4 linked regions of the Arabidopsis thaliana genome follow. The protein of the gene in region 3 interacts with the protein of the main gene of each other region in a pairwise test. Each region holds a gene or a part of one and is shown on either strand. Other genes may lie near its edges.

Region 1 (6,368 bases), on a different chromosome or scaffold from region 3:
ACTATTTCAGGACTCGGACAGAGCTTGATATGTACTTGGAAGCTTCTCAGATTCGAGAACGGGCAATTGAAAGAATCACCAATGTTGTTGGAACGTGAGATATTGTTCTTTCTTTCTTTCTTTCTCTCAACTGCTGGAAATCATTGATGCAGTCACTAGTACTTATTGTTTGTAGGCTAGGGGGTTGATGATTATGTCTTGCAAGACACTGCTCATGTCTTTTTCCTTTTTCTTTTCCTCAGTTATGAAGATCTAAGAAGCAGGATATTTTCCAAACACCCTCAACTTTTCCCTAAAGAGGTAACTGGTATACGCCCATTTTGCTACAGCTTACTATTTGGACATGTAATAAGATGCACTTCTGTAATTACAACTAGTGTTGGTTCTATTTTATTATCTGAGCTTAAATTTGTTTTGTCCACATGTATATGAGTGTGCTATTTCTTGGTTGCAGGTTTTCAATGATGAGACATTTAAGTGGTCTTTTGGAATCCTATTCTCACGGTTGGTAAGAACTACTGTATCATAAGCAATCATTATCTTGATAATTGATGTAAATCTAGATGTCTTGAATTTGAAACAACAGACTTGTTCTTTAATCTTAGCATGACTTTCTGCATAATATAGCTGTCTCCAACAATTTATTGTTTGAACAATGACCACTCACAACCAAAATATTGCATTATTTCGTTTCTCTTTCCTTCCGTGTGCTGCGTGCTTGTCTCTGCAATTCAGACTTAAGCTTCTCTAACACAGGTGCGGTTGCCTTCTATGGATGGAAGATTTGCCTTAGTTCCATGGGCAGATATGCTTAATCATAATTGTGAGGTACTTCTACTTATCTTTATGACCAATTAGCTCCTAGATTCTCCTAATCAGAAAGCATGATTGACTTATGGTAATCAATATTTCAAAATCTGCTTGGAAAGGTTGAGACGTTCCTGGATTATGATAAATCTTCAAAAGGAGTTGTCTTTACAACAGATCGACCATATCAACCAGGTGAGCAGGTAAATAAGATAAATTCATTCAGATAACCTGAGCGAGCATTGAAGTTTAATATAAGTCAGTGTATAACACAAAGAAGTCCCGTTTACACAGTTTGCCTTTTAGCGCTTCAGTAAGTCAGTCCAAAGTGGAACCAATGTTGTCTGAAGTCTCTGATATGTTTCAGTAACATGACATTGTGCAGGTTTTCATATCCTATGGGAATAAATCTAACGGAGAGCTATTGTTATCTTATGGGTTTGTTCCCAGAGAAGGAACCAATCCTAGTGATTCAGTAGAACTAGCATTATCACTTAGGAAAAACGATAAGTGTTACGAGGAAAAGCTGGATGCTTTAAAGAAACACGGATTATCGACGTATTCCATTCTCCACCATCCATGTTCCCCTCTCAAATTTGTAGATCTCTCTTGATTAACTTGAGTTTTGTTTTGATTGTTTGTGTTAACTTTTCTCTGGCAGACCTCAATGCTTTCCCGTAAGGATAACGGGTTGGCCAATGGAGCTAATGGCATATGCTTATCTTGTGGTGAGCCCTCCAGATATGAGAAACAACTTTGAAGAGGTTTGGCAACTCCATCTTGACCCTTTTTACCATCCAATTCTTCCCAAATTCATAATACATCTCTTATCAATTATTATCCATTTCAGATGGCGAAAGCTGCTTCAAATAAGACATCAACAAAGAATGATCTAAAATATCCTGAAATCGAGGAAGACGCATTGCAGTTCATACTGGACTCATGCGAAACAAGCATATCAAAGTACAGCCGATTTCTAAAGGTAAGTAACAAAACAGCTCATCTCTCTCTCTTTGTGGGAAAATTTTCACTCCATCTGCTTATAGTTTGCTTTGTCAATTATCTAATTGTAGGAAAGTGGATCAATGGATTTGGACATAACATCTCCAAAACAGTTGAACCGAAAAGCGTTTCTGAAACAGCTAGCTGTAGACTTGTCCACTAGTGAGCGCAGGATACTGTACCGTGCTCAATACGTAAGGAACAACTTTCTAGCCAATACGATAGATAAGAGTCTGTGGATCGATCCATGATATTGTGGAATCTGTGTTTTTTTTTTTGTTTTGTTTGGGTCAGATTCTGAGGAGGAGACTGAGAGATATCAGAAGTGGTGAGCTGAAGGCTCTACGGCTCTTCAGTGGACTTAGGAACTTCTTCAAGTGAATGTTGAATGAGGACATTTCAACAGCTTTAAGATGGATCAAAGGTAGGCCTCGTTGTGCTTCAACCAAAAATGTAGTTTTTTATTACAAAAAAATTGAACGTTGGTGTAGGCATGGTTGGATCTGTCTCACTCGTATAGGAATATATTGGTCCAGCCATATATGTAATTTGATCATTTTCTATAAACTCAAAACCTGAACCTAAATTGATTAATTAAGGAAACGCATGAGAGAGTAAGGGTAGAAACATGTTCTTCGTATTTGATCCGAATCGAACTGAAATAATCGATCCAACAAACAAAGATAATTTGAAAATTAAGAATATATCTGACTACAACTCATAACGAAAACCGTACCAAAACTCACACTCCTTGTTACCGCAAACAAGATAATCTGATGGTACACGTCAGAACATTTGTTTCTTTAGCAAAGCAAGTAAACATTCCACTGTGGCAAAGTAAAAAACGAGAAACCTATAAAGTCTTCCTAATGAAACGTACTGATTTTATGGAGTTTCCATTTTCGACATAATATGACGTGGCAATATCTAAATGGTTTAAAGATGTTTTATCTCCAATGATATAACGCCACGTAAGCCCGCTGACCAAATAACCCAAAGAGTAAGCAAGCGACGTCGTTTATAGTTTGATGATCTTGTCGGGTAACGAAACTGCCCCTTGAGTCAAAACAGGCTTCTTCGTGTCCGATTCTGAACGAGCTCGCTCTTTCTCATCCAATTCTCTCCACCGTCTTCTACTCCGATCAATCTTCAAATTTTCTTAACACTCATCGACCAGATCGAGTTTCCATCGATCTAATCAATCAATCATCAGATTTGATCTTCTCAAGAAGGTAAATCCCTCTCACTCTCTGTGTCAAACCTAATCACCTCGTAGGAATCGAAATTGGAACAATTCAATTTGGTTTGGTTTGGAATCTCTAGTCGATTCTTCTTCTAAACGATTGAATTGCGTTTTGTGCTTTGATATAATTCGAAATTATTGTGGCAGATGAGCTTGAAGGGTACGATCGTATTACTAGGGCTCTTATGGAGCTTCCAGGCTACGTTAGGGATTAGATTCGTGATAGACCGTGAAGAATGTTTCTCCCACAAGGCTGAATATGAAGGTGATACGCTTCATGTCTCTTTCGTCGTCATCAAGTCTGACTCTCAATGGCATTTTAACGAGGATGGTGTAGATCTTGTGGTATGACTTTTTTTCTTCTAATTGAACTTTTCTACATTCTACATTGCAAAATCGTCGAAAATCAATAGAATTGGTATTCCTAAACAATGCTTAGGATTTCCATTGTTAATGTTGGTAGATAATTTGAAGTATGTATTGATAAAGAATTTGGTTACTCTTTAAAGCTGTTATATTGTACCATCTGGTTAATTTGGTGGTTGTTGTTGTTGTTGATATATTTTGGATGCATTTTGAATAGATACATGGCCCAACAGGCGAACAAATTCATGACTTCAGGGAGCAGATAAGCGCAAAGCATGATTTTGTTGTCCAAAAAAAAGGGGTTTACAGATTCTGTTTCACAAACAAGTCTCCTTATCATGAAACCATTGACTTCGATGTACAGCTTGGTCACTTTGCATACTACGATCAACACGCAAAGGACGGTAAGGATTATCTGTTTAGTTTTGTTTCAGTTTCGTTTGGTGATGAGGTATTTAGCTGAAGATGGTTTTTGTGCAGAGCATTTCACTCCCTTGATGGAGCAAATATCAAAGTTAGAGGAGGCTCTTTACAACATCCAATTTGAACAACATTGGTTAGAAGCTCAGACCGATCGTCAAGCTATCGGTAACATTTTTTCCTCTAAAAACCACATTTGTTGTTCTCACTTCAATATTGAGTGATGGTTTGAATATGGTTGTTCCTTGTGCAGTGAACGAGAACATGAGCAAAAGAGCAGTACACAAAGCTTTGTTCGAGTCGTTTGCACTGATTGGGGCAAGTTTTCTCCAAGTTTATCTTCTGCGTCGCTTGTTTGAACGCAAACTCGGCATGTCTCGTGTCTAAAAGTATCGAGTTTATTATGACTTTGAACTTATTTTGCCTTAAAATGTACCAGGGAATCTTTACTTAAAACCTTTTTACAGACAGATCGTAGTTCATTGGAAGATTTGCTTTCTCCCATGTTCAAGAACTAATCCTCTCGTGATGATAATTCTTTTTTTTCTCTTTATTAACAGACAACTTTTCCACAAGCTAGGTTTTCATTTCAATAGAGAAAATAGTGATTCCTTAAAACCTTTTTTCCCTAAAACAAAGAGAATAACAATGTGATCAAGCTTTGAATAAGACGTGTCAAAAGTACTCAAAATCCCTTAACTGGATTCGAACTCTTATAGAGAAGGTTATAAAAGTGGACACTAGACTAAGTTAGTTGGGCCCAGAGTAGATAGATAAAGCCAGCTATCATTTTCTTAGTCGTCGTACAAGTTACCTGAAAATAAAATAAAAACACAAACTTTCCTGAAAAAGTCGTCTCCAGTTTTAAGCATTGATAAATCCGACAAGAAGTCCGATTTTGTTCCATAGCTTGCTTGTGTTTTTAGTGGATTGAGTCACTGAAAGAGAAATCATAAGGCTTTGTTGATGATGGATCATTTGGTGGAGACGAATTCAGTTCCGAGCAGATTGGTGGAAGAAAGGCTTGATGAGATTCGTAGAGTAATGGGTAAAGCTGATGACGACCCGTTAAGGATCGTTGGTGTAGGAGCTGGTGCTTGGGGAAGCGTTTTCATTGCAATGTTGCAGGAAAATTACGGTAAGTTTAGGGGCAAAGTTAGTGTGAGAATCTGGAGAAGAGGAGGCAGAGCAATCGATAAAGCCACAGCTGAACATTTGTTCGAAGTGATTAATTCGAGGGAAGAATTGTTGAGGAGGTTGATAAGAAGGTGTGCTTATCTCAAGTATGTGGAAGCTAGATTAGGGGATAGGGTTTTATATGCTGATGAGATATTGAAAGATGGGTTTTGCTTGAATATGATTGAGACTCCTTTGTGTCCTTTGAAAGTTGTGACTAATCTTCAAGAAGCTGTTTGGGATGCTGATATTGTCATCAATGGTTTACCATCAACTGAGACGTTTCAGGTGTTCAATGAGATTAGTAAGTATTGGAAAGAGAGGGTTAATGCTCCTGTTATTATCTCTTTGGCTAAAGGTGTGGAAGCAGAGTTTGAGCCTCATCCTCGGATTGTTACTCCTACGCAAATGATCCATCGAGCGAGTAAATTCACTTCCCATTGTCTTTTATCTGATTGCTAGATGAATATTTGATATCATCTTCCTTAGTATTTTTGTTGATGTAGAGAAACTTTCTATTTTTATTAAGGTTATATGAGTATTGACTGTGTTGGCGTTGAAGTGTATGATCAGTAGTTGTTGTCATTGGAAATTCTACAGTTTGCTTGTCATATTCTCTTTGCAGCTGGTATTCCTCTTGAGAACATTCTCTACCTTGGGGGACCTAATATTGCTTCCGAGGTATACAATAAAGAGTACGCCAATGCACGGATTTGCGGGTCTGAAAAATGGAGGAAGCCTTTGGGAAAGTTTCTAAGGCAGTCTCATTTCATAGTCTGGGATAATAGTGACCTCATTACTCATGAAGTAATGGGTGGCTTGAAGAATGTTTATGCCATTGGTGCAGGTAAGATCAGGTGTCTTAAATGGTTATCTGAATAATAGTGATTCAAAGTAAATTACTGGAACTGGTGATCAGAGGTCAAAGTTTATGAGCTAGTGTTTGTTTTGGCGTTTTTGTATTCCACAGGAATGGTGGCTACACTGACTAAGGAAAGTGCTACCAGCAAATCAGTGTACTTTGCGCATTGTACTTCAGAGATGATTTTTATTACTCATTTATTGGCCAAGGAGCCAGAGAAACTCGCTGGGCCTTTGCTTGCGGATACCTATGTAACATTACTGAAAGGTCGTAATGCGTGGTACGGCCAGAAACTTGCAAAAGGAGAACTTAGCCTTGAAATGGGTGACAGCATCAAAGGCAAGGGAATGATTCAGGTACTCCATATATCTCAATGACTTCGGTTTTAAGTGTTAAATTAGCCTTAAATTATGTATGTTTGATATTGAGAATTTGTCGAATTTGTAACTTTCATCTGAGTCGAAATAGCAAGTGTCCATACCAGCAAAATTA
Region 2 (10,070 bases), on a different chromosome or scaffold from region 3:
AGATTTATGATATCTCATTATTGAATGGATGTGTTGATTTTGCATGAGTTTCAAATAAACCACCAAATATTAAAAGCTTTTATCACTTTTCCATGTACAAGATTTATATATTTACTTTTGGGTTTGAAATGTGAAGGTACAAAAAATCGTAGAAAAGAGGGAAAACGCAAAGGCAAAGAGAGATGGGGCACGAACGCTTAAAAACACGATCATAGTATCAGCAGTGATTGTGGCCGTCGCAGGAGCCGCTTTTGCTATAACCAAGAAATTGAAAGAGAATAAATGATCTTATACAAGTTAATTTCTCAATTTTCCTTTGTAACTTTTCTTACATAAGAAATTAAGAAAAAAATAACTATTGACATTATATAATAATTATTAAAATCTCTATATTTTTTTATATGTAATTTTTAAAATTAAATAATGCAATTGAATACCATTTTTTGTTTTTTTCAAACTATGGTTTGAATAATGCGTTTAATGAATGTGTTAATTGTACCAACATCAAAAATAAACGAATTCTGGTTTTGTGAAAAAAACTCAACGATCCAAGGAACACCTAAAAGGCCCAATGGGTACAATACATACAGGCCCATAATCAAACGATTGGTCCCATTGTTTCTCTTCATATTTGTTGGCGCCATGTGAAGCTTTTCATTTCCCGCCCAAATTCTCTCCATAAACTCTCTCAAAGCCTAGAAAGTCCTCAGAAGTTAGGGCTAATCATTTGCAACTCCGACGAACGATTCATCTTCTCCAACAAGGTAAATCTTCTTAATCAATTCTCTTCCCTTCGATTGAATTTCTCAAAATCGATTTCCTGGTTTTCAAAATTTTTAATCCCTTTATCTTTGCTATTGAATACGAAACTGATTTACCAATTCGCTTTTGAATCTTTGAACAGTAGATAGCAATGGATACTTCAAGTCCTTCAGCTTTTGTGAACGGAGCTTTGTTGAGGAGATTCATTGGCCAAAAAGTCAGAACTGTGATTCAAGTGACTGGTTCAGAGATTGGATCTGTGGTTGGCAAATCTACTGATGATCTTCAGATCGTTGTTAGAGGATCGTCTCCTCCTTCTCCTCTTACTACTTACCTTGAGGTTATTGGAATTGCAGAGAGTGATAACGCTATTCGAGCTGAAACTTGGACCAATTTTGGCAACACTTTTGGTAATTTAGTGATTCCATTACTGTGTCGAGTTTATCAGATTTGCTATTGAGTTGTGTTTTGATGTTTTGGTTGTTATTTTTGGTTGCAGATACACAGAACTACAACGAGCTATGTAAGCTAGCAAATGGGGAGTTCAAGCACTTGTTCATCTAATGTTGTGATGATGATTATGATCATGGAAGCGATTCCATTAAAACATTTTGTAGAGATGCTTATGCTTTATATGTATTTGATGTCTCACCACTTTCTGGTTCTATGATTTTATTTACTTAGTATATGTAACAACTTCTTAATCTATCACAACTAAGCTTAAATTGCTGTTTTGTTAATTGAGGTACCAAAACACAAAACAAAACACTATTTTCTTCTTGGCAGCTAAGATTTTGCTCTGGATTTAGAATTGTATTGTTGCTTTATCTATAGGATTTTGTGAAAGCAAACTTTTTTCTTATAAATTTCTTGCCAGTGTAATAAAGAATTTAACATGAATTAGCTCAAAGACATATTTTAATAACCTTGGTTGAGAAAAAAGGTTTCTACCACTAAGGTATTGGTGGTGTTGCTGGTTAGGCAATGTCTTACGGAAACTGACAAGTAATTTTGAGCCGAGAGGAGAGGGAATTAAATACAAGTCTCAGTCCTGCTTCAAGGCTTTTGTGATGATTGACTTAGCAGCCAAAATTCCGATGTAAGCCAACGTTGTGACTGTAATACCTGCAACGAGGACTGCATTGTCGTATGCTGAGTGCTGGACTGTGTACACATGCACCCTTAAAGTGTCCCAGTTGCTTTCGGTCCACACTGGATCAACCATCCCCATAGAATCTGATGAGTTCTGTGGTAGAATTGTCCAAGCTCCATCGTTATACTTCAATCGAGTTGAATAAGCTGGAACATACCTGCCAAAACCAGAACTTAATGTGTTATGCTCAGACAGCAAATTGGTTAGGTCACATACAACATATCAGGTCAGGGGAAGAAGAAAATGATGATAGCTTCAATTCAAAGGTCAACAAACTAAAGATAGACTTTCTCCCAAGTCTAAAAACACTCCACTTCTGAAGCCTATCCTAATTAATAATTCCTATAAAATGCCTACCAGACTTAAGATTTTGGTTCATTTTGAGACATAAGAGAGAACTTGAGCATGCAAACCAAATTGCAATTTCCAAGCACAGAGTTTACCTGGTTGTGGAGACAACACATGTTCCTTCCTTGTTGCTCTCTGCTTTGATGCACACTTCGTCAGTTTTGCTACAGACTCCTTTTGAACAAACTGAGGTTGTATTTCCCTTTTGGACAGATGTTTTATCTGCCAGAAAGTTCCATAGGAATCTAGAAACATCACCGACGTAACCAAGGTAAGGTTTGGAGGAAGGTTCTCCGAGGATGACGCCAGCATAGTTGCCTGGACAAGTGTTTGTCGGTGAAATATAGTCTTTTACCAAGTTGCAAGATAAGCCCGGTTCACAAGCTAAAAGACAGGTTAGAAGCTCTTCAACGAAAGAAGCATTGACATGGATGGATCCCAGAGCTGAATTGCTTGTATCTTTGTTGTCACTTGCTAGGATGTAAAGTGTTCGGGCCACAACAGAAGCAGCAGCTACTACAGACGAGGAGTTGATATTTGCTGCAATACAACACCAGAAAGGAATCAAAAGTGCAAAATGGGGTTTGGAGCGAAAAGAAGAGAAAGACAGGCTGTGACTCTTCTTACACAAGTCATCGAGGTGACTATGGTAGAACTTATTCACAAAGTTGGTATCAAAGTCTTCAAGTACAACAGCTGAAGTCTGAGGGTTCTGCAACAATGAATATGATGTTATACCTTTTTCACTCTAGGCAATCTGGTTCAGAATCACATAATAGTAAGCAAGTATACTTCTCCTGTCATATTCATGATCAACTGAAGGTGAAGTATATGCAAAGAGTATAGTGCGAATACACATTTGAATTGTCTTCCCATCTATTTACTTGGAATATATATTGTACCTTTCTCATGAAAGCCATCAAGGAGGATGGGGGTATTCCAGGGTTTGCAGTATCTGCTGAAAGAATTTTGATGTTTTTTGATGCAAGTGAATCCTGAGCTATCTTTAAAGCATCCAGTGTCATGTTTGTAACTGAAGAAACCTAAAGCAGAACACCAAAAGTGGAGGTTAAGTCGCCTATGACAGTTTTCACATTATCGAACGAATTCGAATTATGCAAGAGTTTCAGGATATCAGGAATTTCTCACCCTTGTTTTATGAGCAAAGAAGGTGTTTATCCCTCCACTTAAACCTTTTCCAACAGATCCTATTTCAAGCACCTGTTAGATAATAGAAGAAGCAATCTGAATTCGATCTTTAGATTTAGAAAATTGTGAACATTCAATTTCACAAGGAACACTTAAACTTGCTTTCTGCGCTACTAAGAAACAAATAAGTTGCAGCAACGATGAAACACAGGCAACTTTTTCCACAGGGATTTCATGCATAAGGCTAGCTGTCTCTATCAACTTTGTCAGACCAAAACAATAATGATTACCGTTTCAATCGAAGTATTGCTAAGGCCTGCGACAGCATCTGAATGCAGATCTAATTCGTGTAAGAACCTCCTGCTGCCAAGGTAACCCCATGTCTCTCCGGTCAGAACCAAAAACACAAGCTGCATTCATTTACGATTTACATGTATTAAAGCTTGCAAACAACAAAAAGCGTGAAATAACACTAAATCACATGGTACACTGGCACCTGTTTTTTGAGATTACTAATACCATCAACTCGAGAAAGAGCATCAACTGCTCCTAGAAGAGCTACCAGACCCTGAAAGAAGGAGAACGTGTTGAGCAATAAATCGGGAAAAGAAGAATAAGAAGAGTAAATAAATGTATTCTAGATCAACCCAAAAGCAGAAAATAGCAAGTTCTCACAGATATTGGTGAATCTGCACCAAAACTTTTGTCACGGAAAAATGATGCAGTATCCATGGAGGCCACAGTCAGCACAACTGGTTTGCGATTGTTGGAAGACGAAACACTGATTGGTGGAAGCGAGGACCAAACACTGTCCTTCATAACAAAGTTGTTAGAAAACGAAACGTATCCTTTAAAAGGTTTTCATATGTCATTAGATCAGACAGTAATAAAGACCTAAATCTTTACCTATATCCGCCCAATGGGAGGCAAGTTCCCTCCTGCAAACAAGCCTCCGAATTGTGTGTTCCAGCTTTGGTAGTCTAATACAAAAAATAGAGAATTGGGTGTCATAATCTAAGTCAAAGTGAAGATCCATAAAGCTGGTTAACGTTCCAGTGAGCAAGATTGCTAAAGCCATATACCTCCATAACCATATTGAATTCAGCAACATCACTGGTATATGTTCCATGCTTCATCTTTTTCTTGGAAAGGATCTGCGCAAATATAATAGGATGTAAATATGTAGTCGATAACCTGAAAAAAGTGAAGCTATCCACATAAACTATACACTTTAGATTGCTACCAACACAACAGAAACATAAAGCTAGCTTCTTGACAGAACCTCATCTGGTAAGGACAACAACATACTATAGAATGACATAGTTGACCAGCAGTTTAAAGGCAACTACCACAAGACAAATGGAAAGGCTATGGTTGAGTCCAATTACAGGCTATGGAAAGCAACATGCATTTGAAATCTACAGATGCAGCTGGGAGTTGCCTTCAGCTGGATGAGACAAACATTCCAGGACCAAATTTGTATTCTTATTTAAAATGGGTAATCAATGCTTAGAAAAATTTCTGCAGACTAATTCAGTTTAAACTAGGAGTATTCATTTCATATGACCTTGGAGATACATATCTCATGCATCATTTTACAGCCATATTTTCATCAAGCAATACTGCTCTTAAGAGTGACCAACAGTCATAATGCCTCTCTAAGCCTTGAGTTCATTTCCTCATATTTCTAAAAATGTCATCAATTTCGCTTTTCTGACAACACAAATAGACACATTTAAAATTTGCAAAAGAATGCAAGTTTGAAGGATTACCTCATGCACAGCTGATATGCCACTTTCTGACAATAAGTACACAGGAAAATTATAATTTCTCCACATGATGCTTGATGCCTGCAAATAATCATTTTTTAGCAATGGTCAATGGCTAGAGACTTATCGCCTGCAACTACTCATAAGAATCAAAATCATTTTTTCTCCGTAGATAACAATAAGAGGAACTATCTTTTAATTAAGGTAGATAAATATGCAACAGATTTTTGAACTTCTTTATAAGTGATCATCTAGGCAGATACATGCATTCCTCCAGTAAAATTATACCATAAGAAAAGGATTTATGGTATTTGTGTGTTAGCAGGTAGTTAAGTTTAGTTCCAGAAGAAAACAGCATATAACTCGGAAATGCTTGACTATGGATTTGGTGATAACTGATTGAAACAATTTCCAACCCACTATAAAAGAGTTGACAGGAAGAAGTAATTTCAAAGATCCAGACAGAGTTTACGCTACCGTACAGCTGAATTCCATTTGTACTCAACGTTTTCATAGGGTGAAAACTGGGCTTGAGGAAACCTTTTATCAGGAGAAAACCCTACAATAAAGAAGAAAGAAACACTAACGCCATCAACATAGATAAGAAGTATCAAGTACTATTTTTAAGGGAATTAAGAACTCAAGACAATTTAAGGAATTAGCCATTCAAGTTGACAGAATCATAAATATGTGGATGGACATAGTACCTTTTAACTTTTGTTGGAAATTAGATCCTGATTCAACTAGAACACCACCAATTTTGCTAGCAAAGCTCAAATCAGTTGACACCCTGGAAAAGGCACAAAGAGGAGTGGTCCTGTTATTTCTACTGAATAGAGTGTCTAAGCGATGTACAAGTCTAATGAACAATGCCAGAAGTAAGCCAGACTGCAGGGTTCTACAGTAAAGTGTTTGGAGGTATACCTACTTTCCGTTAGTCGAATGAAAATAAAGCGGAAAAAGCCAATGAATTACTGGTTCCACTAAACACCTAATCCATGCACCAACAACCAAGTGACTACATTTCTAGCAGATTTCAAAAATGGTGATAAGAGGGTATACTCATTCCAATCTGTTGTTTCACTGTCATGGAAGATTACTAAAAGTGTTTGCCTTAAATACTCAAGTACTAATGAAAACAAACTCTTAGATATACGTTATTCTTAAGGATGTAATTGCCTTTCCAAAAAGGCTGATTTGGCACCCAAAAGCTAAATCTTGTTTGACGTTAAATAAAACACCAAAATGAGAACTACAAGCGAGTGGGAAAGCACTACTCCACAAATTAAGAGATCACTAACAAAATCGAATAGAGGTCATGAAAGTTTTGTAAATGAAAAAGGAGACATGCCTGGTAAAGAAATCTTCCATTTCATCAGCTGTAACCAAAATAGTGTGTGGCTGAACCAAATCTTTAACGTCCTTTAATTTTATGATTGGAGCCACCACTTTATTTATTCCAGGATCTGAGTATTTTTATAAACATAAAACTTAGAGGACCTCATCAACAGATAAAAATCATGTAGCTGAGAGGCCCAAAAGAAGCTTACTTGAACATCCAATCTCTCCAGACAGATTGAGAAGACGTACACAAGGAAACCCATCAACAGCAACATACATTAGCTTCTGAAGGTCAGGTACAGATTCAATAGATGTTATCTCATCTACACAAAACGAAACCTCAATTTCAGATTACAATGTTCTATCAACTAATACATTTCATCACCAATTTTATCCGGGGAAAGGAAACTCACCAGCGAGAGAGAGATGAAGAGGAAGGATTGAAAGTAGAACAAGTGTAAAAGCTATAGAAAGAAGACGAATAAGTCCCATTGCCATAGCATCCGTCAGAGAGTTGCGATTATTAGCGGAAGCTACTTGCAAATCATCGCTGCAGATACGATCAAGAATAATGTGACCGATTTTATAAAAGATCAAAAAATGTTAGAATCGGAAGAAGCAGTACCTGGGAAACGAAAAAAGGGGAAATTGGAAGAGAGAGCGAGAGAGAGGTCCGATTCGCCGGAGAAATGGAAACCTAGCTCGGAATTACGCGGTGGGAGTCTGAGTCAAAGACTGAGATTTTTCGTGTTGATTCTTATGTCTTTCAAAATTCCCAAGATATAGAAAAATTGAGGTATTCACATTTTGTGCGGATTTTATTATATTAAAAGTAATTAAGTGAACCTATCTATATATATATTTTTGCAGCCATTTTGTAAAATAAATCCTAGATTTGGAACTTATTTACAATGGCTGCCACTGGCTTTTATTTATTTATTTTCTTTTAGCAATAAATTGATTAACAAACAAAAAATATTCCAAATATATTCCAATCCCATATATCACGCAGATTTCTCCAAAATTTGAACTAGATTTCGGAAATTATTTAAAACAAAAAATATTTGACAAACCAAAATACAATTGCAATCCCTTAAAATGAGCAAAACGCACATAAATACATTTCTTATCAGTTCACTAAATCTTATTTCTCCAAAATTTGAATTAGATTTCGACAACTATTTAAAACAAAAATTTGTTTGACAAACTAAAATATAATTGCAATCCCGTAATTTTTTTTTTTAAATTAGCGGTGTACTACAAATTTTTTTAACGGGACGGGTTTGGCAGAACGGGTTTGGAAGGATGTTACTTAATAACAATTGTAAACTATAAAATATAAATATTTTATAGATAAATATAATTTACAGACTTTTATATATACTAATTTTAAAAAATAATTGTCTCCGCGGTGTACCGCGGGTTATAATCTAGTTGTTTATACAAAAAGAAAAAATATTTTCATTCCACATTTTCTTTTTTTTTTTGTAAGAAATTTGTATTACATTTTATGGCTTCATTTTTACAAAATCGTAGACTAATTATGATTGATTAGGGTATTATTTGCTAGATTATATAGGCAAGTTTTGGCTAAAAATTGATAAAAAAAAAAACATATTGTATATGGTAAAACTATAATTTTAAAGAAATTATTCCATATGTGATTTTAACAAATAACGTAGATCATGTATAAACTGCATGTTAATTAAGAAAAAACTAGTGTTAATTTTGAAAACAATGTGTAAAAAAAATATAAGGCGCAAATTCTCATCCAACTTGAAAGTTTTTTTTGCATAAAAATCAAATTTGTCGTATATTAAGATCGGTAATAAGCCGTAATATAAGATTGGTCGCATCATAATAAAAAGTGACTACACCTCCTTGATAGTCTCGCTTAGGCATCTTTTAGGTCATATCAATACAACATACACATATACATATTTTTCAACACCTGAGGTGCGCGAAGATAGACACTTCTTCATCCTCTCCGTAATTCTCAAAATTAGGGTTTTCTTCCGGCAGCTCTCTCAGGTACTTTCTCGCTCTTTCTTCTTTCATCTCATTGCGCCTCTCTTCGTTTCCTTTCGTGAATCTTTTTTTTTGGTTGGGGATCCAAAATTGGGATTTGTGTAACTCTTCTTATCTTAATTAAAAACTGAATCTTTCTCTCATTTTTGTTCCAATGATTGCTAAGTTAGCTTAAACACGCCTTTGATTGACATTTCTCTGAGTTATAGCTTTGTATGTGTATTGGGTTGTTCTTGGTTGTATCTATCATTGTGGTCAATTTGTGTGAAATAATCAAATAGAATTGTAGTTATAAGCTGAGGATTCTCTTAACAGGTTAGATTGGCAGCATAAAAAATATCACTTGCAAATTCTGAACAATGTCTGTTGTGGGAGATTCTAACATGGAGCTGGAGTTTTCTAAGCAAAGATACTATTTTGACTTTAGCCCTTCTTATCTTTCTTGTTGCCATGAATATTTTAACCTTCTTTGCATCTAACCAAGGCCTATGATATCATGGTTTTTATCCGCTCTCAGGGGTCATTTCGTTTCTTATCTTTTTTTGTTTCACCTGTTGAGCATTTCATCGCCCTCTTCTCTCTTTGTCTATTTGTTTGTCACCTTTTTAGCCGCATTATGGCAAAGCGTCAATTCGAACTTCTTATTCTTCTTTTCTATTGGCCTCTTATTGTTTCTTTTCCAACCTTTCCTCGGTTTTATTCTCTCTCCCCACTTGCTTCTTGCTTCTGTGTCTCCTCCACAGTTGTACTGCAAGCATTCTTTTCTAGATATTTAAGATGTCAAGGACGAGGACTGCTGCTTCTGAGGCTCATGACTCCATGGAATCTGAGGAAAGGGTAGACCTTGATGGTGACAATGATCCTGAGGAGATTCTGGAGGAGGAAGTTGAATACGAAGAAGTTGAAGAGGAGGAGATTGAAGAGATAGAAGAGGAGATAGAGGAGGAGGTTGAAGTGGAAGAAGAGGAGGAGGAGGAGGATGCTGTTGCAACGGAAGAGGAAGAAGAAAAGAAAAGGCATGTTGAACTTCTTGCACTTCCTCCACATGGTTCAGAGGTTTATCTTGGAGGGATTCCTACTGATGCTACTGAAGGGGACTTAAAGGGCTTCTGTGGATCTATAGGAGAAGTTACTGAGGTAATTTGACATCTTCTTACCTAAACTATGGTTGTGATTTAATTTATCTTGTGCTGAGTTTGGTGTGATATCAACAGGTTAGGATAATGAGGGAAAAGGATTCTGGTGATGGAAAGGGGTATGCATTTGTAACATTCAGAAGTAAGGACTTAGCTGCTGAAGCAATTGATACTCTAAATAACACTGACTTCAGAGTAAGTTCTTTGACCTGATTCTTAGTAAATTGTCTGGCTCTTATTTGTTTATTTACTTGATGTAATTCAATAGGGTAAAAGGATAAAATGTTCGACTACCCAAGCAAAGCATCGTCTCTTTCTTGGTAATGTCCCTAGAAATTGGATGGAGTCAGACATTAAGAAAGCAGCAAATAGAATTGGTCCAGG
Region 3 (6,382 bases):
AGACCTGACCTGACAAAGGAACAGCGAGAATATCTCCAGAACTAACATCAGGAGCTCCCATAGCATTCACATTCATCAAATCAGTAATAGTAGTCGAATACCTCCTCGCGATTCCGACCAATGTATCAATCTCCTTCACAACATACGACAAATAAACAGCCGGCAAAGAATTGTCGGTGCCATTGAAACAAGCACAAGGCAAGGGGATAACAAGACTAGTCCCAACATCAAGCAGCGACGGGTCATTCACCGAGTTAGCTTCCTGGATCTGCTCAGCAGAGACCAAGCCTCCGTAAACAGAGTCAGCAATCGATCCTAGATTGTCAGAAGGTCGGGTTTTGTAATGGGTAGAGACAGATTTTCTGATTCCGTCGACGCAGGAGCAAGTGATTGGGATTTTGAGGAAGAGCTTCGAAGGAAGGATATGGTTTTCGACGTCTGGGTAAGAGATATCGATGGCGTTAGCTAAAAGGATAGAGATTGGGTCTACTTGGAAGAGAGATGCGACTTCTGAGACTTTGAGGTCGGTGTAGAGTGTGTAGCCGAGTAAAGCGTTGCAAGTGTCGTTGCTTGAGCAAGGCTCGATTGTTGATTTCGCTGTCGCTGTGAAGGTTAAGCTCGAAGCTAGGATCAAAGAGACGAAGATTAAGAAGATGGGTTTTTCTGGGATTTTCATTTTTGTGTTTAGGGTTTTACGAAATTCAAAATCTCCTAGGGTTTTCAATTTCTCTTACAGGACAATGACAGAGAGTACAGTGAACAGAGTTTAGTTTGGTCTATGGAAGATGAATCTGGAGATTTTTCCAGGGGTTTGGTAGAGAGAGAATCTCTCTGTATCTCTGGTTTTCTTCTTCTAGAAAGAGAAGAAAAGTTTCACCCTTTTTGAAATGGAGAGAGAGAAGAGAAGAGAGGAAGAAGGAGACAAGTGTGTTGTACAGAGTGAACAGAAAACGGTAGCTTTGCGATCTCCAAGACACAGACATCTTTTTATGCTGTTTGACTGTTTTGCCCTTTTCTCTTTAACTCCTTTGACCTGGTTTCAGACTACTGTAGCATGAAGATTTTTTGAAAATTGATTTTTTGTAAGGGAAGGATATGGCGGTAAATTCAGCAACATAAGTTGAGGCCCACTTGAAAAAGCCCATTTTTTACTTTTGAGAAGCTAAAGCAACGAATTTGATGAGCTGTTTTGAGAGCTAAAATATTCGTTTCCCTTAAACACCGTCTTAAGCTCTTTCATGTATCAAGGCGGGAAAATGAATAATCATTTCTTATATATTGTCAAATTAACTTTCTATTTTCATCTTCTTTCAAAGATTCCCAAACTTGCACCATTTTGTCATGTATTAAGTCTCTGATGTTAGAACATGGCACTATGGCACAAACAAAATTGGAAGGAAAAATTAAAAAGCTGAGGTAAGTGAAAGCACTACCATAATTGAATACAAAAATGGGCCTGCTTTAAGTATCTTTGTGGTCATCTCTGAGTTGGTTTGATGAGGATAGATAATTTAATACAATGGAAACAAATAAAATGGCACTTCTCTAACTTCTCTAGTTTGAGTAAAAATAAACATATAGTTAAACTATAACTCTCTTGTGGATGTTCAAGATCAAATCTAACTTCTTTGTGTGCGTTCAATAGTCTAGTGACTTACCGATGATATTCAAATTTTACTCTCGAGTTTATCATTAACAAGAGGGATCAGTTCCATCTTGTTCCTTGGGGTACGAGGAGTCCTAGGAGTTCCGGGTTGTTGCTGAGAAAGCATGTGTCTTACATATCCGTAAAAGGTGCAGCCCACAAGTGTGATTCCGCAGCCAACAGCATTCATCGGTGATATCGGGTTTCGAAATATCATCCATGAAACAAACACAGCTACTGCAACCTGCAAATCACATACCATCCATCAAACATCTGAGTTATTGAAACTAGAATATAAAGATTAATGTTATGTGGTTTGGGATTTGTTCATTTACCTTAAGGTTTCCAGCTACATTGAATGTGACTGCTGTTGTGGATTGAATGACATAGAAGATGGAGAAGTTAAGACAGAAAGCTAGAACACCTGAGTTGAAAAGAATTATGAGAGCCGACCATGGAGATGGATGTGCTTCAAACCAATCCAAAATTCCATTCCTTTCTAGTAAAAATGCAGGTAACCCGAGAATCATGGTCGCGAAAGGCGCCATATAGTATACCGTGTTTATGCTACATAGAGAGACATGAAAATGAGGAGGACACAAACACTCAGTTCCATGAAATATGAAAAAGCAAATCAAGTATTGGACTATGAGAGCATGGCATGTCATTGAAACCAAATGTAAGTTTCACACATTCAACACCTATCATGTGAAACTGAAGATCAAAACCTCAGGAAACAGAACATTGACCTGTCAAATTTGTATCCATGAAGAAGAGATTCTGCAAGAATGGTCTTTGTAGAGGTAGCTAAACATCCAAACAAAGCAGCACAGAATCCAAACACATTAAAGCTAAGTTCTGTAATAGAAGTAAGAAGAATCCCTCCAACAATAGGCACCAATGACGCCCAAATACGCCAATCAAAATATTTCCTCCATACCAACCACTGTAACACAACTGCACTCAAAAAACCATTACACAAAAACCAATCAGAACAATAAAAAAAAATCACTTTATTTTGAAAAATTCTCAATCTTAAAAAAACCCTAAACCTGTTGTTGCAGGAGTTAAAGATTTGATAGTCTGCATAAAAGAGACAGGAATGTATCTAAGACTAATATTCCCCAACACAATGTTGATACAGAACACAAATGACATTGGAAAAATCCTCCTCCACCTATCTTCTGGATCAACCACAATCAAAGGTTTAAGCTTTAAGACTTTAATCACAATGTATGCTCCAATCGACGAACATATGAAATGAACACATGAAACTGATAATGGAAACTTGAAATCCAGTTTCTGCAAACAAGGAAAGGTACCAAATTTCAAACGCAGATCAGATAAAACAAACGAAAGGCTAAGTCTTTAATGATAAAAGTAAGAGACTTTTTAAACCTGAAAGATCCATTTGTTCATGATGATAACAGTAACGTTAAAACCCCACCATTGAAGAATCGATAACAGAGATCTGAACATAGTCCATTGACGCCACAGACTTCCTTCCTCCATTGATGGGTTTTAAGAAGTGAGTCAGAGAAGGATCCAAAAGATGAAACCTTTAGGAATGTGGCAATGCAAAAGCTAAATAAGAAACCCTAATTAAAGCGCCAAGAGAAACAGAGTAACGGTTCTGTTTTATATGCGAGAATTCTCTTTTTCTCTTTAGTAAGTTTCCGTGTAGTTAAATGCAAATATGTTTATGCAGCATAAATTATGCTTATACAAGTTACCAATTTTCAGTTGTTACATATATAAATATAAATAATTAGATTTTTAACAAATTTTCCGTATACAAGTAAATATTGTTAAAGATAAAAAATTATGGAAGAAGGATACATAAATACTTGAAATATTGATCGATACATTGATACAAAAAATCATAAATATATAACTTATGCATAGAGAAAGGAGACAAATTTTTTGTAATGTGGATCAATTAAGCGGTACAAATCCAGCTAAATGCTCTGCAGAACCTTTTTATAGGACCACCATTACCTCGAGGGACGATGTATCGCTCGTTGTTGAGAGGATCACATATAATCTTGCAAGGGTTGGCACATATGGCTGGAGTCGCTTTCTTTGATGCTTTCATGCACTGGTTCACGACACAATTTTTGACACACACATCTATCGAGTTGGAATGAGCTGAAAACATCATTGCAAATAAAATTACAATCATCAATACACTGCAGATTTTCTTTGACACTTGAGTTGCCATGTCGTAAGTATTGTGAGTCTGAAAATCTTAAATTGTAATGTTTTTTTTCTTTCTTTTTTCTTTTTGTTGTGGTTTTGAAACAAGATGATTTGGTGAGAATGTTGTGTTGATTATATAGTAAAAATAGTTTTAGCTGATTTTAGAAGTAACTAACTATTAGGAGGTCAACTTGTTTTCGTTTCTTTTTCTTGGCAAATATATCGATTGATTTCTGGACAACTTATATGTATTATACTGTTTTGGTCATCTAAACAACTATTTGCATGCTATGCATAAATATAGTAACACTAATTGCTCATATTTAAAATATTAGCCTGTACAACACATATCTTAGTGGCATTTTCTTCTTAAAATTCGTGACCACGTTTTTGTTACGAAAATCGTAATATGCACATGACATGGTAAAGAATACATACCGTTAACAAGGAATGATTACCTTTCACTGTACATAATTTTTTAAGATCATTGAATTTATCATTGGACACTAAAAATCTTTCCTTTTTTAAAAATGAAAAATAACAATTCCACCAAAAGTATCCTAAAAACTCAATGCCTAACTAAATCACATTGTTATTTTTCATGTGATTTAAATATTTTGGCGATCATCGGGGTACATTCTTTCTTTCAAACCTATAGTTTTTCTTAAATATGGTGAAAGATTCATCAGGAACAAAAAGAATACGTAATCCTTTTGTTTTGTCTATAATTTTTGAGTTGAATACATATATATATATATATAAGTAGGAAATTATGTACATTTGTTTATAAGAAAACGTAAGGAAAATATGTACTTTTGTTTATGAATAAGTAAGAGGTTCTAGATACATACAATACACTAAGGCGGATTAGATCATTTAATATGACTCCTCCCAGGTAAATATGTACATTTGTAAACATAATTTTCTTTCATATTGTCTTTATCGTCATTTTCCTCCATGAAAACACAATAAACTTTTTTTTCATAAAATCTATAAATTCAAGACTAATATAATTTGATTGAAAGTATTTATTTTAAAAATAAAATCCATATTTGTTTAACATCTTCAGTTTTTTCCATAAAATTATTAAATTCAAATGCCTACATAATTCTTTTTTACAACTCTATATTCTCAGCTTTCTTTCTAAAACAGTTGCACTTGTTGTAAACATGATATATATATATATATATATATATATATATATTTTTGAATATAATTTAACATTATGTTCAAAAAAAATTAGCTATACAAATTATGGAAACTTAATGCCTAACTAAATCACATTAACATCATATATTTTAGTTATTTTATTTTTAAACTATATTGTTTCAACTTTATTGGCGTTTATAACTTAAAATTTGTTTCATAATAAGTTTTGGTTATGTTTTTCAATGTAGATGTTTGGTTAAAAATTTAGTTTTTTTTAATGTCTTCACGAATAAAAAATCATAGCATATTAATAAAAAGAAAAACAGAAATTAATTGTAATTATTTTAATTTGTCTGAAAAACTTTAAACAAATATAATTTGAAAATGAGGGAGTATTAGGTATAATAAAATTATGGAAGAAGGATACATAAGTACTTGAAATATGGATCAATACAATGATACAAAAAAACATAAATATATAATATATGCATAAAGAAAGGAGACAATTTTTGTAATGTCGATCAATTACGCGCTACAAATCCAGCTAAATGCTCTGCAGAACCTTTTTATAGGACCACCATTACCTCGAGGGACGATGTATCGCTCGTTGTTGAGAGGATCACATATAATCTTGCAAGGGTTGTCACATATAGCTGGAGTCGCTTTCTTTGATGCTTTCATGCACTGGTTCACGCCACAATTTTTGACACACACATCTATCGAGTTGGAATGAGCTGAAAACATCATTGCAAATAAAATTACAATCATCAATACACGACAAATTTTCTTTGACACTTGAACTGCCATGTCGTAAGTATTGTGAGTCTGCAAATCTTAAATTGTAATGTTTTTGGTGAAACGAGATGATTTGGTGAGAATGTTGGTTGATGTGGATGATTTATATAGTAAATATAGTTTTAGCTGATTTTAGAAGTAACTAACTATTAGGAGGTCAACTTTTTTTCGTCTCTTTTTCTTTGGCAAATATATCGATTGATTTCTGGACAACTTATAAATGTGTTATACTGTTTTGGTCATCTAAACAACTATTTGCTATGCATAAATATAGTAACATTAATAGCTCATATTAAAAATATTAGCCAGTACAACAAGTATCTTAGTGGCATTTTCTTCTTTAAATTCGTAACCACGTTTTTGTTACGAAAATGGTAATGTGCACATGGTAAAGAATGCATACCTTTCAATTGATGGCTCGATACAATACGGTGGTGGAACTTGAGGTAAAAGAAAAAAAAAAATGGAAAGAGTGAATTTCTACGTGGAGAGGGTCAAATCGTATCTAGCTATCATACAATAAACTGAAGAATTTAATGTCCAAAATGATAAATAGAATGATATTAGTCCAATCTGAAAGTCTTTATTTAAAAA
Region 4 (9,764 bases), on a different chromosome or scaffold from region 3:
TAATGCAGTTGGAATGCTTGACCGTATGTTTCTAGGAATCCAGCATTTGTACAGAAAACCTGTATATGCACGAACCAAGGTTCTAGATTTTAACCCAAGTCCTGTTTTTCTCAATCTTTGTTTTATGTCCATTTCATTTGATCTCTTATATATTCTCAGCAATGCAGTATAAATTATCCAAACAATGGGCCATTACCTCCAGACGCTCCTTCTTGGTGTCAAGCGCCTTTTGACCCCGAAGGCCTCTTAAGGTCTCTGCTTCTACTCTCCAAGAAAAATATTAAATAGTAAGTTGTGTTTTATCATTGTTCAGAAAATAACTTGCAAGTTTGTTTAATTGTAGTTCGTTGATGGCCACCGTAACATGTCTAGTGGGTCTGCACTATGGCCATATTATCATCCACTTCAAGGTAAACATATCTTTTTATGAAGAAGTTCGGCTGCTCTGCTCAACTCTTAGCTATATGTCTCCTCTATGTAGCATATTAGAGCTGTTGTGTTTTGGTTAGAGAAATGGTAGTAAGGGACAGGTTTATAACGAGCCTTCAATTAGCATAAGACGTACGTTAAGCGTCTCTTGTTAGTCTAGTCCCTATGGTTTTGGTGAATTGGAATAAGAATATCAGTTGTATAGCATTTTTTTTTATCTTATCAGAAACTTACTTGTTGCTATATGTAATTAACTTTTTACAGGATCACAAAAAGCGTTTGAATCAATGGATTTTACGTTCTTTTTGTCTTCTGATGTTAGGTCTCGCACTGAACCTCTTTGGTATCTTCCTTGACTCTTATAGCTCTCATTTACATCATTTGTTGTCCTAATTCATTGCAAGATCAAAATACCTTAGTAAATCACATGTCATTCGTTTTTTTGGTTGCTTGCAGGAATGCATCTAAATAAACCTCTATACACATTGAGTTACATGTGTGTCACCTCAGGGGCCTCGGGATTTTTGTTATCCGCGATATACCTAATGGTTTGGTTTGCTATTATCTTGAGACTCCTAATGAAAGCATCACTCATGGTTAAAATGTAAATCTATCTCTCACTATCTTCACAGGTCGACGTTTATGGATACAAACGAGCAAGCCTTGTGTTAGAGTGGATGGGAATACATGCCTTACCGATTTACGTTCTCATTGCTTGCAATCTTGTCTTTCTAATCATTCATGGATTCTACTGGAAGAACCCCATTAACAATCTCGTAAGTTTTACTTTCGTTTTTTTTTTTACCGTTATTAACGTTTTGTGTTGGAGTTCAAAAATGTTATTGTTGTTTGCAGCTTCATTTAATCGGAATCGGAAAGTAAAGAAGAGAAGAGAAGGGAGGTGAAGAAATAAGTTTCATCAACCAAAACCTTAATTGTTTTTGTTAGAAATAAACAAATGCCATCTTCATCTTCACATCCCATATGGAATCCAATTTATGCTATACTTTTGTAAACATACGGTATATCGTAGAAAAATTAAAACTTCATGGCTATATAAGCAAAGCCTTTTGTCGAAAATACACATGTTGGCAAGTTGTGGGAGCCACCAACATAAGCATATTATATTCAAACAAATGTTCAATCGCACATGTGATGGTTTAGCGATTTAGCTACCGCACAACTGAATCAAAAGACTTGTTAAATTGCTCTCTTAGTCTTATCATACCTTCATCTCATATCCATTATAATCATCTTTAGCAATACTATTTTATTTTTAACTACGAAAAATAAACCTTGTTACGCCGTTATTAACAGTGATCATTTTTTTCGTTAAAGAAATTTAACATTCAAAAAAGATAAAGAATGATCACCAATAAGCGTCATGATCTTCCGTATGGTGATGATAAACATCGTTTGCAGTTTTGTTGTATAGTACAACGTATATGTAGCCGTAACGTGTGAATAGTGTATGGTTAGGGTCATTTTATTTGTGAACTACCACAATTTTGATAGCAGTGGAGATAAGTCAAAGGTTCGTCTTCTAATTAATTAACAGCGATTATTAGACTATCTAACTTTTCTTCTTTTCTTATTTTGATAATAACTATATATCTTCTTTAGCCACCTTACTTTCTCATCGGGTTCTATTTAAATAGGGACAAAGAAAACAAACCATCGATTTGTACTATGTGCTCAATTATATCATATGTTTTGTCTCCATCTATGTATCTATTTCTCTTTTCCATTTGGTAAATTATTTAAGACCCTTAAACTGACTTTTCTCGTGGGCGGCGTCGAAGTTTTGGTTAACAGACAAAACATCTGTTCATGATGCCTGCATAACTCTATGTTTTTATACTACTCATTTGCCCTCTATTTCATGCTACTCTTAAAAATAGCTAAATAAAAATACTTCAATATTAGAAAAAAAATCTTCTTGATGTCAAAAATACACTTTAGATATCCCCTCTAGTTCTTGTGATGCTAATATATTACAAAATTGTTTATATATATAGAAATATTACCTCTAGCAATACAAAAATCTTGTTATATCAATTAAATATAACACTATCCGACTAGTGTTTACTAAAATAACACATAATTTTTAATTATGATCTTTGAATTTTAGTTTATGTATTACGCTTTATAATTTTGTTATCAAAAACTATAAAAGCTCAAAAGTGAGCATCTATACCCTAATTCCGTTTTTATGCATACACTTAGGTTTATTTTTATTACGAGAATCTGTGTTTAGTATATATAAAATAGAGTTTATGAATGACTAAGTTAAATACTTCAATACTAATTAAAGTAAGTCGTATTGATGCAGACAATATAAACTTTAGATATCTCCGCTAGTTTGTATAATGCTAATAGATTCAAATTGTCTTTATGTAGAGGAATTACCTCAAATAACATAAAATTTTCATTTTATTAATTAAATCTCATTTTGTCATTTCAAAAGTCATTTTAATTACTGTGTTATTTGTCTAAAGTATACTCCAAACAAGAAACCAAAGTAGAAGGTCAGTGCCCAAGAGACAAATAAACTTAAGCATGTCCACTCTTTTTAGCGATCGGATCGCTTATCTGTTCTTATCCATTATGGAACATGAACGATGTTCCTTTAAGACTACCACATTCAAACGAAAAATAAGTCATCGATGATAGACTGGATAGTTATAGTTTGATGATCTAGCTAATTGACTTTCATATTTACATAAAACAGAAATGTGTTTTTATCAAAAAAGAAAAAAGAAAAAACAGAAAATGAACAATACATCTCACATGGAGTTTGTACAAGAATCCATAATAATTTTTTGTTCGGTACAGTAGGTTAGATATACATTTGAATACAGTTTACAAGCCAAATGTTAGAAGCAACATATTTATATAGTATCATCAATATACGATCCAAAATGAATTATAGATTGACTTATGGAAAAGTTAGATACTATATGCATGATTGCCAAATACATTGAAAAATAACAATTTAAGTTCTTCAAACAAAAGTTTATAAATGACTCGGTGTTTGACATAACTCGGGGTTGTTTTTCTTTGTTAATTCACACACGGGGTTGGTGTATAAATGACTTCGGTGTTTGAAATGTATGACACGGTATAAATAAAAAAGGTAAGGAAGAAATGAAGAATAGAAGAAGAACAAAAAAAAAAGGAAATTAAAAAAAAGTCAAAATAAATGGTCAGTAAAGGATTTTGACCAGACCGGAGCGGTCCATCCATAGTTTCCCACTACCTTCCCTGATTTAGCACAGAAGAATGGCAATTTGCATGCCATTTATTTCATCTATTCCTCCTTCACTCTATAAATATATTTTAAACAAAATCAATTTCTTCCATACACAAAAATCAAACACCTTTTGAGAGCGGTTATTTTTTCTCTATCAACTAATACAGTAACCTTACGGGTGTTTATTTGTATAGATCTCTGTGGTTTTCTTGGCCAAATCTAGTGAGATCTTTTTGGTTTCTCGAATTCGATGAAAATGAGACGAGGCAATTCAAGTAACGACCATGAACTTGGGATTCTACGAGGAGCTAACTCGGACACCAACTCGGACACGGAGAGCATCGCTAGCGACCGTGGTGCCTTTAGCGGTCCGCTTGGCCGGCCTAAACGTGCGTCCAAGAAAAACGCAAGATTCGCCGACGATCTTCCCAAGAGAAGCAATAGTGTTGCTGGCGGCCGTGGTGATGACGATGAGTACGTGGAGATCACGCTAGACATCAGGGACGACTCGGTGGCCGTCCATAGTGTCCAACAAGCAGCTGGAGGTGGAGGCCACCTGGAGGACCCGGAGCTAGCCCTTCTTACGAAGAAGACTCTCGAGAGCAGCCTCAACAACACCACCTCCTTATCTTTCTTCCGAAGCACCTCCTCACGCATCAAGAACGCCTCCCGCGAGCTCCGCCGCGTGTTCTCTAGACGTCCCTCCCCGGCCGTGCGGCGGTTTGACCGCACGAGCTCCGCGGCCATCCACGCACTCAAAGGTCTCAAGTTCATTGCCACCAAGACGGCCGCATGGCCGGCCGTCGACCAACGTTTCGATAAACTCTCCGCTGATTCCAACGGCCTCTTACTCTCTGCCAAGTTTTGGGAATGCTTAGGTAAGTAAATCACTTCTTACTAAGCAATTCTATTAGTACTATATGTTTCCATTTTTGTGTTAGTCTCATTTTTGTTTTGTTTTTTACTCTAGGAATGAATAAGGAATCTAAAGACTTCGCTGACCAGCTCTTTAGAGCATTAGCTCGCCGGAATAACGTCTCCGGCGATGCAATCACAAAGGAACAGCTTAGGATATTCTGGGAACAGATCTCAGACGAAAGCTTTGATGCCAAACTCCAAGTCTTTTTTGACATGTAAGCTTTTTTTTACATATCTTCACCTAACCCACAATAAATATATAACGCGTAATCACTATTTGTCGTTTAATATTGACTCTTAATGAAAATTAAACGGTCATCAGAATTTAAGGACCAAAAGTAGTAATATTAATCATTTGTGGAGTTTTGGTGGATTTGTAACTAATATATGACATCACTGTTTGGTCAGGGTGGACAAAGATGAAGATGGGCGAGTAACAGAAGAAGAGGTGGCTGAGGTGAGAAAACACACACACCACTCAATAATTATCTTTTTCAAATATTTTATTATATTTATACATTTTTTTTATCTTATATTTATTCATATTCCTGGTTGAATTTTTTTTCTCTTATTTTATACGTTATTCTTGGTTGATTATTTTGACAATTTTGTCCACGCGCAAATCCCCACTGACTTTATCTGCTGACGTTTACTATTAACATCATCAATATATTAACTTCATGTGAACACGACAAAATGGTAATAGATAGATAGAGTAGTAGTCTTTGTTACTTTAGCTTAGGTTATTAATGTTTCAAATACTTTAGCTTTTGTTTTCTAATTTGTTGGTAATTTATTGCAGATTATTAGTCTTAGTGCTTCTGCAAACAAGCTCTCAAATATTCAAAAGCAAGCCAAAGAATATGCGGCACTGATAATGGAAGAGTTGGACCCAGACAATGCTGGGTTTATTATGGTACGTGTGGTCCACTTTCACCCACTCAATCACACTAATGGTATTATGTACGTCGTAAATTTAACCACTCTTAAAATACTAGAAAAAACGTGGAAAAACATAACGTTCTAGAAGTCTTTAGTGGTCAAAATTGGGTCACCATGATGTTTTTTAATTTCCAACTTATTGGGCCATCTTGAACTTTTTACCAAACCAATCAACAAAATCTCGACAATGGGTGGTTAGTGGTTACGATATGAAGAAATGACCAATAAAATTGTAAAATATATGAACTAACACTATAATCCAAGCTTAGAAAGTCTTAGGCGGCTTCCGATAGTATATTGTTTTTTAATTATTGGAGAAACCTATGAAAAGTGTTTTTAAGAAAAACAGTTTGGAACATTAATGTTTTATTGTAACGTTTTAGTTAATTATATGATATGGACATTGGTGAAACAGATCGAAAACTTGGAAATGTTGCTATTACAAGCACCAAACCAGTCGGTGCGGATGGGAGACAGCAGGATACTTAGTCAGATGTTAAGTCAGAAGCTTAGACCGGCAAAAGAGAGCAACCCTTTAGTGAGATGGTCGGAGAAAATCAAATATTTCATACTTGACAATTGGCAGAGACTATGGATAATGATGTTATGGCTTGGCATCTGTGGTGGCCTCTTTACTTATAAATTCATTCAGTACAAGAACAAAGCTGCCTATGGTGTCATGGGTTATTGCGTTTGTGTCGCCAAAGGAGGCGCCGAGACTCTCAAATTCAACATGGCTCTCATATTGTTGCCTGTTTGTCGAAACACCATCACTTGGCTTAGGAACAAGACTAAGCTTGGTACTGTCGTTCCTTTTGATGATAGTCTTAACTTCCACAAGGTTATTGCAAGCGGGATAGTCGTCGGTGTTTTACTCCATGCGGGTGCCCATTTAACGTGTGATTTTCCACGTTTAATTGCCGCGGATGAGGACACCTATGAGCCGATGGAAAAATACTTTGGGGATCAACCGACTAGCTACTGGTGGTTTGTGAAAGGAGTGGAAGGATGGACTGGCATTGTGATGGTTGTGCTAATGGCTATAGCCTTTACACTCGCGACGCCTTGGTTCCGACGTAACAAGCTTAACTTACCTAACTTCCTCAAGAAGCTTACCGGTTTCAACGCCTTTTGGTACACCCACCATTTGTTCATCATTGTTTATGCTCTTCTCATTGTCCATGGTATCAAGCTCTACCTCACAAAGATTTGGTATCAGAAAACGGTACTCTCTTCAAACCTCATTTTATCTGTTTTAATTTCTTATTTTCTTTCCTTTTTCCGGTTAATAACATTTATTACCTGTTTGTATGATTCTTGTAGACATGGATGTATCTTGCTGTACCCATCCTTCTATATGCATCGGAGAGGCTGCTCCGTGCTTTCAGATCAAGCATCAAACCGGTTAAGATGATCAAGGTCAGATATATTTCTATTTATCTCTTGAAAACCTTATGTTTCAAGAAATATTTCAACTAATACTTTTAAACCATCTTATTTTATAGTTCTTTTTGATAAAAGTTTGAAAATTGCCTTTGAACTTAATCTATATATATGTAACAACAGGTGGCTGTTTACCCCGGGAACGTGTTGTCTCTACACATGACGAAGCCACAAGGATTCAAATACAAAAGTGGACAGTTCATGTTGGTGAACTGCCGAGCCGTATCTCCATTCGAATGGCATCCTTTCTCAATCACATCAGCTCCCGGAGACGATTACCTGAGCGTACATATCCGCACTCTCGGTGACTGGACACGTAAGCTCAGGACCGTTTTCTCCGAGGTTTGCAAACCTCCTACCGCCGGTAAAAGCGGTCTTCTCCGAGCAGACGGAGGAGATGGAAACCTCCCGTTCCCGAAGGTCCTTATCGACGGTCCATACGGTGCTCCCGCACAAGACTACAAGAAATACGACGTGGTACTCCTCGTAGGTCTCGGCATTGGAGCCACGCCTATGATCAGTATCCTTAAGGACATCATCAACAACATGAAAGGTCCTGACCGCGACAGCGACATTGAGAACAATAACAGTAACAACAATAGTAAAGGGTTTAAGACAAGGAAAGCTTATTTCTACTGGGTGACTAGGGAACAAGGATCATTCGAGTGGTTCAAGGGAATAATGGACGAGATTTCGGAGTTAGACGAGGAAGGAATCATCGAGCTTCACAATTATTGCACGAGTGTGTACGAGGAAGGTGATGCAAGAGTGGCTCTCATTGCCATGCTTCAGTCGTTGCAACACGCTAAGAACGGTGTGGATGTTGTGTCGGGTACACGTGTCAAGTCCCACTTCGCTAAACCTAACTGGAGACAAGTCTACAAGAAGATCGCTGTTCAACATCCCGGCAAAAGAATAGGTAACTAATCTCGACCGTTAATCTCGTTATGTACGTGATGTTGTATAATAATTAATAAAGTGATGAATTTAGACTAAATACTAATATGAATTTTGATTGCAGGAGTCTTCTACTGTGGAATGCCAGGAATGATAAAGGAATTAAAAAATCTAGCTTTGGATTTTTCTCGAAAGACAACTACCAAGTTTGACTTCCACAAAGAGAACTTCTAGATTAATTATATACGTTGTAGAAAAATAAAACAAGAAACAACTATACAAATAAATATTTATTTTAAATTCTTTTCATTTTTATGTAAAATTATCTGAGTTATCTTTTTTTGTTCTTCTATATCCCTACCGTTTTGTTGGTTACTTTTTCACTACTTAGTTTAATGCCAAATTAAGTATAAGATAGTAGAAGTTTATATAGTTACAGCTTTGGTGTTGTAAACATGTAATCATGGAGTTATCTGTACTATTATTTTGTACTTATATTCGAATATTAACAACTAAAGATAGTTTTGATATTCAATACCCATTACTCATTTAACATAATGAATAGAGATATCAACATTAGATACGTCTTGATTATTTGCTCACCAATGCATTTGCGTGTTTAACTTGTTTATATGTTATTAATAGTGTTCTTTTAGTTAAAATGACAAATAATTTCTTAACTCAAAAGCATCTTATATCACAACTCTAGCTAGATTAGTTTAGCTTTTCATAAGTCTTCTTGCGTTTACGTCTTTATTTATGGGTTGATACCCTATTCACTACTTTAATTTGCCTTGCACTTGGGATAGTTTAAAAGACTTTAAAATTATGCAGCTAGAATATAATCAAAACTTGATATAAGTATCAAAATAATTAAATACAATTGCTATCGATAATAATCAGAAACAATCGTTATGAATGGTTAAGTTTGTTTCCTTAAAATGGTTACGAATGATTAATTTTGTTCCTTAGGTAAACTAAAAGTTCAAAAACAAATCCAACCTACTACAATCTAAGAAAACTGACAAAGTTTATGGTTGATTACAGAATAGGTCGCTTGAGCGTCAAATTAAGATAAAGAAGGAGACTTATGTAGAGCCGGCCCTTGGGCCAACCAGGCGAAGCATAGGTTTGCAGCTGCTAATAATATAATTTGAGTTTGGCTTTTTTCTAGAAAACTTTCTTTAAGTCTAGTGGTTCAATTATGGTGGGTACATCATCAGTTCATGGGTTTGACTTTTGAGACAAGTGAGACCGAATTTTTTTGTTTTTTCAACAAAATTCTAAAATAGATAAAACTTATGCGGCCCATTTCATTGTTCACTTGTAGGCTTGTAAAACTCAAGGCCGGGTCTGGAGTGTGATGTCAAGACTCAATATTATAACACTCTACTTCATATTTCACTATTTTGTGCATTATCTAGCTTCCAATTTTCTTTGCATTTCACAGTGTATCAATAGTTACTTTAGTGATGTCAAGATTACACTTTTAACACATTTTAAGTGTAGTTTTACAACATAAACTTGTGTCTCTAATTGGCAAAGTGAATTGCTAACGAGATCATGAATTCTGACTGTTGAGTCTGAGCGAATGAAACAAATGGACCAACATATGATTAAGGCCTGGAGTGACATATAAGCCAAAAAATAATGCTCTATATTGTAACACTTAAAAGATCTTACACAGTACGGTCTCAAGGAGGAAGAAAACATATTCCGCAAAGCAGATCCTTCCTTCAACTTCAACATATTAAATGAAAACAGATCTAAGAGACCGTAATATTTCGATCCTAGAAAATAAGAGAACTCGAAGGATTTATCATAGACAACACAAAATAAGAACGTACGTTAGCAAAGATCATAATATGAATCTATTATTCAT

The links.
Region 1: the proteins of GONST5 (region 3) and p24beta2 interact in a protein complementation assay, tested with the Arabidopsis thaliana proteins (one large-scale study listed by BioGRID).
Region 2: the proteins of GONST5 (region 3) and AT3G52640 interact in a protein complementation assay, tested with the Arabidopsis thaliana proteins (one large-scale study listed by BioGRID).
Region 4: the proteins of GONST5 (region 3) and RBOHD interact in a protein complementation assay, tested with the Arabidopsis thaliana proteins (one large-scale study listed by BioGRID).

Annotation. Positions count from the first base shown.
Region 1 is NC_003074.8:2,452,428-2,458,795, forward strand, and holds p24beta2 (emp24/gp25L/p24 family/GOLD family protein), read left to right. Parts: upstream 1-2,811; 5' UTR 2,812-3,041; intron 3,042-3,199; coding exon 3,200-3,397; intron 3,398-3,635; coding exon 3,636-3,822; intron 3,823-3,898; coding exon 3,899-4,006; intron 4,007-4,091; coding exon 4,092-4,225; 3' UTR 4,226-4,491; downstream 4,492-6,368. Other genes in the region: AT3G07670 (Rubisco methyltransferase family protein), read left to right, coding at 11-94, 243-300, 455-508, 757-828, 930-1,010, 1,193-1,365, 1,469-1,571, 1,658-1,789 and 2 more; AT3G07690 (6-phosphogluconate dehydrogenase family protein), read left to right, coding at 4,805-5,438, 5,640-5,861, 5,955-6,232. UniProt on the Arabidopsis thaliana protein: Involved in vesicular protein trafficking. Mainly functions in the early secretory pathway but also in post-Golgi membranes.
Region 2 is NC_003074.8:19,513,271-19,523,340, forward strand, and holds AT3G52640 (Zn-dependent exopeptidases superfamily protein), read right to left. Parts: upstream 7,275-10,070; 5' UTR 7,148-7,274; intron 7,073-7,147; 5' UTR 7,021-7,072; coding exon 6,936-7,020; intron 6,846-6,935; coding exon 6,732-6,845; intron 6,648-6,731; coding exon 6,533-6,647; intron 5,972-6,532; coding exon 5,889-5,971; intron 5,741-5,888; coding exon 5,664-5,740; intron 5,263-5,663; coding exon 5,185-5,262; intron 4,567-5,184; coding exon 4,495-4,566; intron 4,393-4,494; coding exon 4,319-4,392; intron 4,221-4,318; coding exon 4,088-4,220; intron 3,981-4,087; coding exon 3,909-3,980; intron 3,823-3,908; coding exon 3,703-3,822; intron 3,485-3,702; coding exon 3,413-3,484; intron 3,307-3,412; coding exon 3,166-3,306; intron 2,976-3,165; coding exon 2,359-2,975; coding exon of another isoform or gene 2,355-2,358; exon of another isoform or gene 2,073-2,354; coding exon 1,808-2,072; 3' UTR 1,603-1,807; downstream 1-1,602. Other genes in the region: AT3G52620 (uncharacterized protein), read left to right, coding at 137-286; AT3G52630 (Nucleic acid-binding, OB-fold-like protein), read left to right, coding at 914-1,172, 1,262-1,326; AT3G52660 (RNA-binding (RRM/RBD/RNP motifs) family protein), read left to right, coding at 9,328-9,687, 9,765-9,881, 9,955-10,070. UniProt on the Arabidopsis thaliana protein: Probable subunit of the gamma-secretase complex, an endoprotease complex that catalyzes the intramembrane cleavage of integral membrane proteins such as Notch.
Region 3 is NC_003070.9:7,674,983-7,681,364, reverse strand, and holds GONST5 (golgi nucleotide sugar transporter 5), read right to left. Parts: upstream 3,158-6,382; coding exon 3,044-3,157; intron 2,948-3,043; coding exon 2,698-2,947; intron 2,603-2,697; coding exon 2,395-2,602; intron 2,213-2,394; coding exon 1,981-2,212; intron 1,890-1,980; coding exon 1,668-1,889; 3' UTR 1,522-1,667; downstream 1-1,521. Other genes in the region: LYM1 (lysm domain GPI-anchored protein 1 precursor), read right to left, coding at 10-676; AT1G21866 (Plant thionin family protein), read right to left, coding at 3,585-3,866; AT1G21864 (Plant thionin family protein), read right to left, coding at 5,519-5,800. UniProt on the Arabidopsis thaliana protein: GDP-mannose transporter that may be involved in the import of GDP-mannose from the cytoplasm into the Golgi lumen.
Region 4 is NC_003076.8:19,393,653-19,403,416, forward strand, and holds RBOHD (respiratory burst oxidase homologue D), read left to right. Parts: upstream 1-3,388; 5' UTR 3,389-3,932; coding exon 3,933-4,560; intron 4,561-4,652; coding exon 4,653-4,815; intron 4,816-5,008; coding exon 5,009-5,057; intron 5,058-5,402; coding exon 5,403-5,516; intron 5,517-5,957; coding exon 5,958-6,767; intron 6,768-6,865; coding exon 6,866-6,961; intron 6,962-7,108; coding exon 7,109-7,904; intron 7,905-8,006; coding exon 8,007-8,116; 3' UTR 8,117-8,409; downstream 8,410-9,764. Other genes in the region: AT5G47900 (heparan-alpha-glucosaminide N-acetyltransferase-like protein (DUF1624)), read left to right, coding at 1-79, 160-251, 344-410, 694-772, 886-977, 1,062-1,205, 1,285-1,311. UniProt on the Arabidopsis thaliana protein: Calcium-dependent NADPH oxidase that generates superoxide.